Linked DNA regions of Drosophila melanogaster. The protein of the gene in region 2 interacts with the protein of the main gene of each other region in a pairwise test. Each region holds a gene or a part of one and is shown on either strand. Other genes may lie near its edges. The genes, in order: PGRP-LB and CG16790.

What was found.
Region 1: the proteins of CG16790 (region 2) and PGRP-LB interact in a two-hybrid assay, tested with the Drosophila melanogaster proteins (one large-scale study listed by BioGRID).

Annotation. Positions count from the first base shown.
Region 1 is NT_033777.3:11,457,421-11,462,557, forward strand, and holds the start of PGRP-LB (peptidoglycan recognition protein LB), read right to left. Parts: upstream 3,133-5,137; coding exon 3,027-3,132; intron 601-3,026; exon of another isoform or gene 203-600; coding exon of another isoform or gene 166-202; intron 1-165. UniProt on the Drosophila melanogaster protein: N-acetylmuramyl-L-alanine amidase involved in innate immunity by degrading bacterial peptidoglycans (PGN). Probably plays a scavenger role by digesting biologically active PGN into biologically inactive fragments. Has no direct bacteriolytic activity.
Region 2 is NT_033777.3:9,568,418-9,571,905, forward strand, and holds CG16790 (uncharacterized protein), read right to left. Parts: upstream 1,798-3,488; 5' UTR 1,724-1,797; coding exon 1,626-1,723; intron 1,574-1,625; coding exon 1,232-1,573; intron 1,171-1,231; coding exon 834-1,170; 3' UTR 657-833; downstream 1-656. Other genes in the region: CG16789 (uncharacterized protein), read left to right, coding at 1-102, 165-335, 389-563; CG9396 (uncharacterized protein), read right to left, coding at 2,066-2,332, 2,716-2,756, 2,815-2,962. UniProt on the Drosophila melanogaster protein: 3'-5' RNA exonuclease that trims the 3' end of oligo(U) tracts of the pre-U6 small nuclear RNA (snRNA) molecule, leading to the formation of a mature U6 snRNA 3' end-terminated with a 2',3'-cyclic phosphate.

The DNA.
Region 1 (5,137 bases), 1.9 Mb from region 2:
TCAGTGCGCTCAGCTGACGCAGATTGCACTTGCTGGGCGCTCAGGAATTCAAAAAAAAAACCCGATCTTATAGCCCCACATTCCCATACCGGGTGCTATCTGCACAATTGGTAAGTTCTCAGGGGCATGGCGATAAGGAAAAGCACCCTAACACCCGGCACTTACCCATCATCGATAGCAGAACTAATCCCAGTGCTGTCATGTTGCTGCTTTTAGCTGCTGTTGCTGCGAAGTTGCTGCTGCTGTTGCGATGTTGCTGCTGTTGCCAAGTTGCTGCTGCTGTTGCGAAGTTAGTGCTGCTGCAATCCAACTGCTTAGGAACTGTGACTTGGATTTAGGAACTTTTGTATCGACTGCTAGTCGCTGTTTGTTTCTTGTCTTGTTTGTTTGTTTATTTTTGTGTTTGTTTGTTTCTTTGTTTGTTTGTTGGTTTGCTTGCAGCGTTGTTTGTTTGCTGGCTGACTGCTACCGTTTATTTTTTTTTTGCTTTGTGGCAAGAGTTGTGCAAAATTTCGACAGTGTGTGAAGGTCAGACTTTGGTGCGGCAGCGCTCACATAGCGGCGTTATGCTTCGTATCAAGCGTATAAAGCGCGAATGTTGGCCAGCATAAGGGCGGACCGGAGTTTATAGAAAAATTCACACACCGAATTCGCACTGCTGCTGCTGCCTCTGCTGCTGCTTCTGCCTCTGCTGGCGTCGCTGCTTCCGATTGCTGTTGCTGTGACCGCCGCCGCTGCCGTGGGAGCAATGCCAAACAAATGGCTAATCGCATCGAACTTATGGCCCCCCAACGCTCTCGCCGCTCGCTCTTTGATTTCGATTTCGCTCGGAGTGAGCTTTTGGCCGCCGCTGCCGCGCCTCGACGGTTACCGCCGCTGTCGCGGCTACCGCCGCTGCTTCTGCTGCTGCCGCTGCCGCCGTTGACGTCGCAGCCGAGTTTGATAAAGCTGTTATCAGGCGGCGAGTTGCGCTAAGGTCACGATGTCGCCCTTAGGGAAATTTAATACGATGATCGAACTAGCGCCTCGTTTGCGGTGAATTACCCATGCCGCCGCGAATTTATTGGCCCCATTCAACCGCATTTTACCTCCTCCGATCGCCGGTACTTTTTTTTTTTTGCCAATCCGAAGGGTTCTTTTTCAAGCGCTGCGGCTACGAGGGCTATCACACGTGTCACTCTGAATCGACATTCCAAATGACAGATACGCGTGCAGAGAAAGAAAATATTGGCACCAGACAATATTTGCTTTATTCAGCCAAACGTTTTCACTTAAACCAACTTGTTTGAAATTAGCTTTGATTATTTTGCATTGAGTGATTACTGTTCCACTGTTCATGTGTGAACCTATTTCAAAATCGTTACTTTTCTTCGCGTGCACGAAATGACTACACTTTGGCCCAACACTTAGATAACCAATTAGGGTTAATCACTGAAAACGTTGCATAGACTATAGGGCACGACTCACGCCCCGCAATAACAACTTCCGACAAGCGTGAGTGATTAACAATCCCAACTGTTTTGGCAAGTGACGATTAGATTACCGTGATACGGATCGCTGATCATACGGATCAGAATGACACTCATTCAACTAGTTCAATATCGGTCATTCTCGAAGGTCGCTGCTGATAAGAACCCTCTATCGAGGGCATAAATCAGCTATGGGGAACTTTTTTTTTTTTAACCAATTCTCAAGACTTTGGTTGTGCAAATAATCAGACAGCTGCGAACTGAACTTAGCATTTGCCAATGGCTAAGTTTACGTTATTTTTGAATCTCCCTGTGGCGATTTATTAATGTCACTGTTATTCGCCCAAAATGAAATCTATGAGTCATCCGTTGCTTTAACCATCTCTTTTTTAAATGGTAATATTGCGTTTTTGAGCTCACATCTGCGGTTTTACTTCTTGTGTTTTGATAAATGAACGAACAATTTCCATAGCTGGAGGTGACAGTTGAATTGTTGAATATTTTTTGCAGTCAGGAAATTCGGCTGATGCCATCTAAATACATAGTCACAGACTAGAGTTAAAACAAAGGTTGACAGCTCGCAGATGTGACATTTCTTCGTACGAAATTCCTTATTTAAAAATGTAAATTAACCATTTCAATGAAATCTTTATATTAACTTAGATACAGATTTTTAATTGAATTCATTTTTGAAATGTATTCTCATTTTTTATGTTCATAGTGGAAAGATTATTCTTTTAGTCTGAATCCTTTATAAGAACCAACTTGAATCGTTTCAATAGTTTGGGTTTACTTTGTTTTACACGTAAGGATACATGATATCTTATTTAAATTATATTCCTATAAAAGCTGATATTCTTTTCGCACGATTTCAGTTGTTTACGATTCCAAAACTCAAAACCGTGATTTTTTATGGCTGGTTGCTGTGACAGCATCACTGCCCCCGTCGTTCTCTGTGTCATTTGCTTTCTTTGACCACCGGCACCGGACATACTCTTTTATAATATGTATTCGTGTGATTTAATTTTTGTTTTTGTTGTATTTTCGAATCGGGGATGCCCCTTGGTGGGATCGCTTTGATTTTTTTGGGGGAATCCCGCTGCAAATGCGGCTGGTATTAAATTGCTTTAGTCGGAGTGCCGAGATCGGATGGCTAGACAAATTAACAGCGTTTTATTTTCCGTCGTCGATTTATGGCGAACAAGCACATTCCATCTTCATCTTCATCTCGCTCTTAATCTGAATTAGTTTTTTTTTCTTTGTGTGCACACAGGTTTTTCGAGTCGAAAATTTCGGGGGATAACCGCCAGATGCGTTCTGGCGCCTCGTCCAAAGGAAGTCCAAATCACCGGACTCATTTTCTCCTCCAACCTCTACTTGTCTTATTTTATTTGCTGTTTATACTTGTGGCAAGGTAAACACGCAGACCACACCGCCCCCCCCCCTTCGCCCAGCATTGGAATATTTATTACACTTCAAAAAGGGGAAATTTCTCTCAAACGCTCTTGGAAATTGTTGAATTGTTTTCAGCAGCAAAATAGTTGCGGCGCTACTTACCACAACTTGTGGCCAGCTGTTGCTGCTCCAATTGCTCCGAGTCCATGAGGATTGCCAAGGAAGTTGGGCCAGAAGTGGAGACGGATCCAGACACCTTGTCGCCCATGTTGTTTGCCAATGTCTTTGACGCTAACTGAAATGAAGTCCGAAGTCTTAGAGGCAGTTTTCTATGTTCGTTGGCAACAAGGGGACCGTTGATTAGGTCTTGTAATCTTGAGTTGCTCTTCTTTCTTCGAGAGGTCCACCACTTGGAAGTTCTTAAATCCGCAGGTTAAATGAAAAATAAATACGTTTAACAATTATTTTCGTGTGCATGGGGTCGTCAATTTGATGGGCCCAAGCAGGTGGATATACAATGCTAATAAATATATTTTAACGACCCAGGTGTGCAAATCAGATAAACACACAGCGAAAAATGTTTCGTATATATCTGTACTCATTAATACGAGATGTTTGTTTAGAAAATGCATTAAGTCCTACAAAAATCCCCCAAATAAATCGGGTATACAATTAATATGCGATAAAAATCAATTGAATTATCACCGATCGAAAATCCCCGGTTAGAGCATTGCGCATTCGACTTTTGGCAGCTGGAAGCGCTGACCATTGTGCTCATAACTTACCATTCGACTGGCTGCCCGCTAATCGCACATCTTATCAGGGTATTAAGTGCCGCTCACTAACTACGCCTTGGCACGCTCTCCCAGTAAAAAATTTCGAGGGGGGGCAAAAATCACACGCAAAATCACAGGCCTTCTTTTATAACCCCCCCCCCCCCAGCACCAGCTCCAGCTCCAGGTGGTGGTGGGGTATTCACCCAGGTAAACATTATCGAGCCAGAAGCTTTACACTCTCGCACATTAGACAAATAAACGGGTGTCTCTGCGTTGGTTGGTTGGTTGGGGTTGTGTGTATTACAATTAACAAAAGTAATTGCACTCGTCTGGGAATCCCCGGGGCCACAATGAAAACTCTTTGATGGCGTTGGCCATGCAAGTGGGAGAGTCTATCTATATCTATCTATAGCGCAAAGTGAAACACACTATAATTTCCACGCGGATACTGACTGGCCGTCCTATCTGTTTTCAATATTTCATTTTCCCTATCGGAATAATCGCAATCGTTATAAATGGCTCCCGAGAGCCAACTGTGAATATCAGGCAATAATGAGAAGTAGTAATTTAATGATACGAATTCAAGGGCCGGGTTTTTTTTTTTCTCTTCCCCGTCGGCTGAAAGATAACGTTGGGGGTTTTTTTTTCATTTTAAAGTAACTGACCTTATTTAATTTTGGCATCAGATTTGGACTTAATGGAGTGCTTTTCGATCGTGATAGTAAGTGATACATTAATTTTCTCTGCGTGCACATTCATTTAGATATATATACATATGTATATGCCAACACCCCCAATTGAAATCTTCGGCTGTGCGAACAATTCATCAGATGTCGCCATATCATTGCCTGTGCTGATTAGTTACGCCTTGCTGGTTGGTATCCCCTCAAAATTGAGCATGGGGGGATACCAGGCGGTGGCGAAGGATACTGCTGCTGGTATCCTTGTAGCGGCACGCACATGCCATATATTAGGACGCATAAAATGACAAACGACTCGCGAGGCGCGTAAATTGAAAACTCGCTGAGCCTGTGCGAGATTGCCAGCGCAAAGGATCCGCGGGGCGAAATTGTGTAAGGGGCTGGGTGGGGGGTATTGGTCCTGAAATGGGTGGCGGGGAATTTGGATTTCGGCGACTTTTTGGCTGTTTGTTATTGCTGCCTGAGCTGTCTCACTCGCTAGCTGGCTGTCGGCCAAAACTTTGCCAAAGTATTCAAATTAAAATTTCAATTAAGGAAGTGAATTTGTGTGTGCCGAAAGTGTATTAAGTCTATACAGCGGTGGCATCTTGGCATTTCACTGCTTCTGTATTCCACGTGTGCCTCTCTTGCCACGCCCCACCCCCTCCTCAACCGCCCACTTTTGTATGCCCGCACAGAAGGCTAAAACCGAAGTGAACTGAACTGAGCTGAGCTGAACCGCATTCAGCTGAAGCTGTACCGCCTACAAACAGCGCTCGTCGCCTGTTGTTTGATTTATTGCCAAAGTTTGTCGTCT
Region 2 (3,488 bases):
GGAGGCGGATCAAAAGCTATTGCAATCCGTCTACAATCGGTTCATCTATATTCCACGACCGGATTACGGCGCCATGTCACATGCCTGGAAAACATTGTTACAGTGCGTAAATGTGGGGGATTCATTTGCAAAATAATCTACTGATTTGGTTTGCACCCCGACAGCGATTACTCTGGTGGCATTTCCAATCTGGACACCAGCGCCATGGCCAAAATATCAGATGGCTATACCATTGGGTCCATCGATGCGTGCCTCAAGGAGGTGATGACCTGCAAGCGGAAACTCCAGCTGCGCACCCAACCATTGACCAATGCCGAACTGATCAATGTTCTGTGGTAAGTAGATTTGGCTATGAAATTAGTTAGTTGTTAGTTTCCATGCCTTTCAGCTCACGAGATCCCGTCTACCGCGAAGAGGAGGAAGCTTTCGAGTCCTGGTGGTCGAAGACCCCGCTCGGCCGCCGTCGTCAGCGGTTTTTGGAGCTGGAGGAGGAGCGATTACTGGAGGAGCAGGCGCAGGCGGCCAAGCAGGGAAATGGTAACAAGAAAAAGGGTCTTAATTAAAAGGTAATCACTGGACTTCTTATATTTAAGCCTAATTTGTAAGGAAACATCTTTGGATTGCTAATGGTAACCATTCATTCAACGCTATGGCTTGCTTTACAATCTTGCTTTTATTAGCAAACTACAATTTATATGTTCATATATATGAGCTAATATGGAACAGATTACATTTTTGATACCTAATAAAGTCAATATATATTTTCCACTACATTCCAATTGAAAGATCAGCATGCATAAATATTTATGATTCAGTTAAAGACTGGCAATATCCTATTTCAACGAGTAGGTAAAATCCTTGTTGCCGCACTTTAGGTGCACCTCATTGACCGCCAGGCAGAGTTTGTCCTGATCATCAAGGAGCTCTTTTAACTCCGTGAGCTTTTCGTTAAGCAGTGTCTCCTGGTCGCCAACGCACCAAAGAAGGCTGACGTGGAACGAGGCCGGATCATAGAACTGTTGCAGCCGGTAGTCGAGCATCACTTGGTCGATGGGCTGCAGAATGGCAGTCATCTTCTCCACAAATGCAGCGTCCAGGGGCGCAGCAATGAAGGTCCTGGTTCGCTCCTCATTCGTGTAGATCCGCAGCCCCTGCAAAGTGGCGGCGAATCTAAAAGAGGATTGGTCATCAGGATGGGAGATACTAGATTTAACTTGGTTAAACATCTCACCCCGCAGAGCTGTTGAGGGCGCTTTGCAAGGATCGGGAGAATTCATCGATCTGATGGTACTGCAGCACCACTGTTCGACTCAGGCTCAGATGGAGCGACTCGTTCGGCTGCAGTTCCAAGTGTGGCTCCAGACGAGCAATGGCCTCCGTTTGGAACTCCTCCAGCTGGTCAACACATGCTGTTGCCGGCACATAGACGTAAGTGGCCCAGTTTCCCCGTTCATGCTTGAAACTACGCATGCGGCCGCCATGTTCCGCGGGATCATCCACCACATCCTCGACGAACTCCTCGGGCTTGGGCTTCTTGGGGCCCAGCAGGGTGGCTGCTTTGGGTAGGGCCGGTCTTTGGCGGTTATAATGTAGAAATCTACGGGTATTCCAGTAAAGGACGTTACCTTTTCAAGGTGATCAACGCGGGAGTTTGAATGTTTTCGGTGCAGTCCTCATCCTCGGAGGCGGAGGAGCTGCTGCCACCATAGTCCACCAGGGCCATATTATTATTTATTTATGTATTTTTATTTGATTGCAGTAAACAAGAAATGACCAACAGCACAATGTTCGGCGGTTTTTATTTACATTTATCGATTAAATTGAAAGTGATGTGTATTTAGCTTGGTTTTAAATTTATGTTGATAAACTATTTTGTTTTAAGCAATTAAATTGCAATTAATAACATTAAAAAAAAGTTATAAAATTCACTTTTAATTATTTAAATAGTACTTATTTTTTTAACATTTTTTTACTGTAAAATTTCCACTTTAAATGTATTGACCGTTAAAGCCTTAAAACTTGTTTTTATTTAGACTAAATCCATTGAAATGCACAAATTGGACTACTACAAACTGGCTTCAATAGCCGGGCATTGCTCGCCATTTTTCTCCAGCCTCGACTGCTCCCACTGGTAGTTGTAGTACCTACCCAATTGGAAGAGCTGCGTCAGACTCACGAAGAGATTAACCGCGAACAAGCTGTAGTTCTTGGGAATGATCACCAGAGAGTAGCGCGTCCAGATGAGGTTCGTTGCCCCAAGAGCCAGACATCCGTTAGGCGAAATCTTGTCCGCAGGACGCGTCAAATCACTGAGACCCGCGATAACGAGGCTCTGTGGTGGAATATAAACGGAATGGTTGCGGAGATTAGGGAGATCTGGCCGATAGTGCAGGGTAAGTCCCCCCATTGACTGCAAATCTGAATAGCATGTTGGCAAAGCTCCCCCCAGTCAAAACAGTAAAAGTATTATGAAATATTCCATGAGCCCCACAAACCGCACAATCATTCAGTTATCAGAATCTCGCGCGTGGAGAGGAAAATGGTATATAAGTACATATATACATATTTATCGCGGGCTTGAACAGGTTTGCCGAGAACTAAACAAATAATAATAAAACACAATATTCGCCCACAGGTTTGTTTATCAGTACGGTGATAATGGGAATTGGCTAAGGACGCAGGGTTCATGGTTATGCAAGTAGTGCAAAAACTTACCCACTTAACGATTGGAGCCCAAAAGAATATGGTCTTGGGTCCTGAAGGAAAGATATGTTAGTTCCTCTCTGTGCTTAAAATGCTTCTATTTATGATCACCTGCTGGGTGCATCCACAAGGGTCGCATCTTGGGGGGCACATACTTGTCGCAGGCCTTGATAAGTCCATTATATGCCCTGGAGTGAAGACCCTTTCCGGCGGAAGCTGCAGCCGTGGGCGCAGGTGTTGTTGGAGGAGTGGCAGACATTCCGGAACGCTACTGTTTTTCCTATATTTTCCAACGTCCAACCAATAGCAGATGCACAGAGTAACTGCTGGTCAGGTTTGCGAATTGAGAGGAATTCTATATGGCCTACCTGTAATCAAGTATTTGTTGAGTATGGGCTGATTGATTGGAAGCGCTGGAATAACAATCGCCTGGGACTGCGATAAACCAGTTGGGAAGTAGTGCTCCTGAACAAACTGAGGCACAACAGCTCCAACCAGGCGTCCATCTACAACTGAGCTTTCCGAAAAGTCCGGGGTCCATGCACATATGTTTATGTTTCTCTAGTATTATTAGCTTAGCGCTCCTGTTATCACCAGCACTATCAGCCACTGGAATACGACGACGCCAGCCCCTTTTTTTGCACTTTGCTTTTGCCGCAAAACTAATATAAGCTCTTAGTTATATTCTCCTTTTATTGGTTTTTAATTAATTTGTGTTGACTAATTGTGTAAAACTCAACACAGTTATCGAACAGCGAATGTGCAAATAGATTCATCACACATGG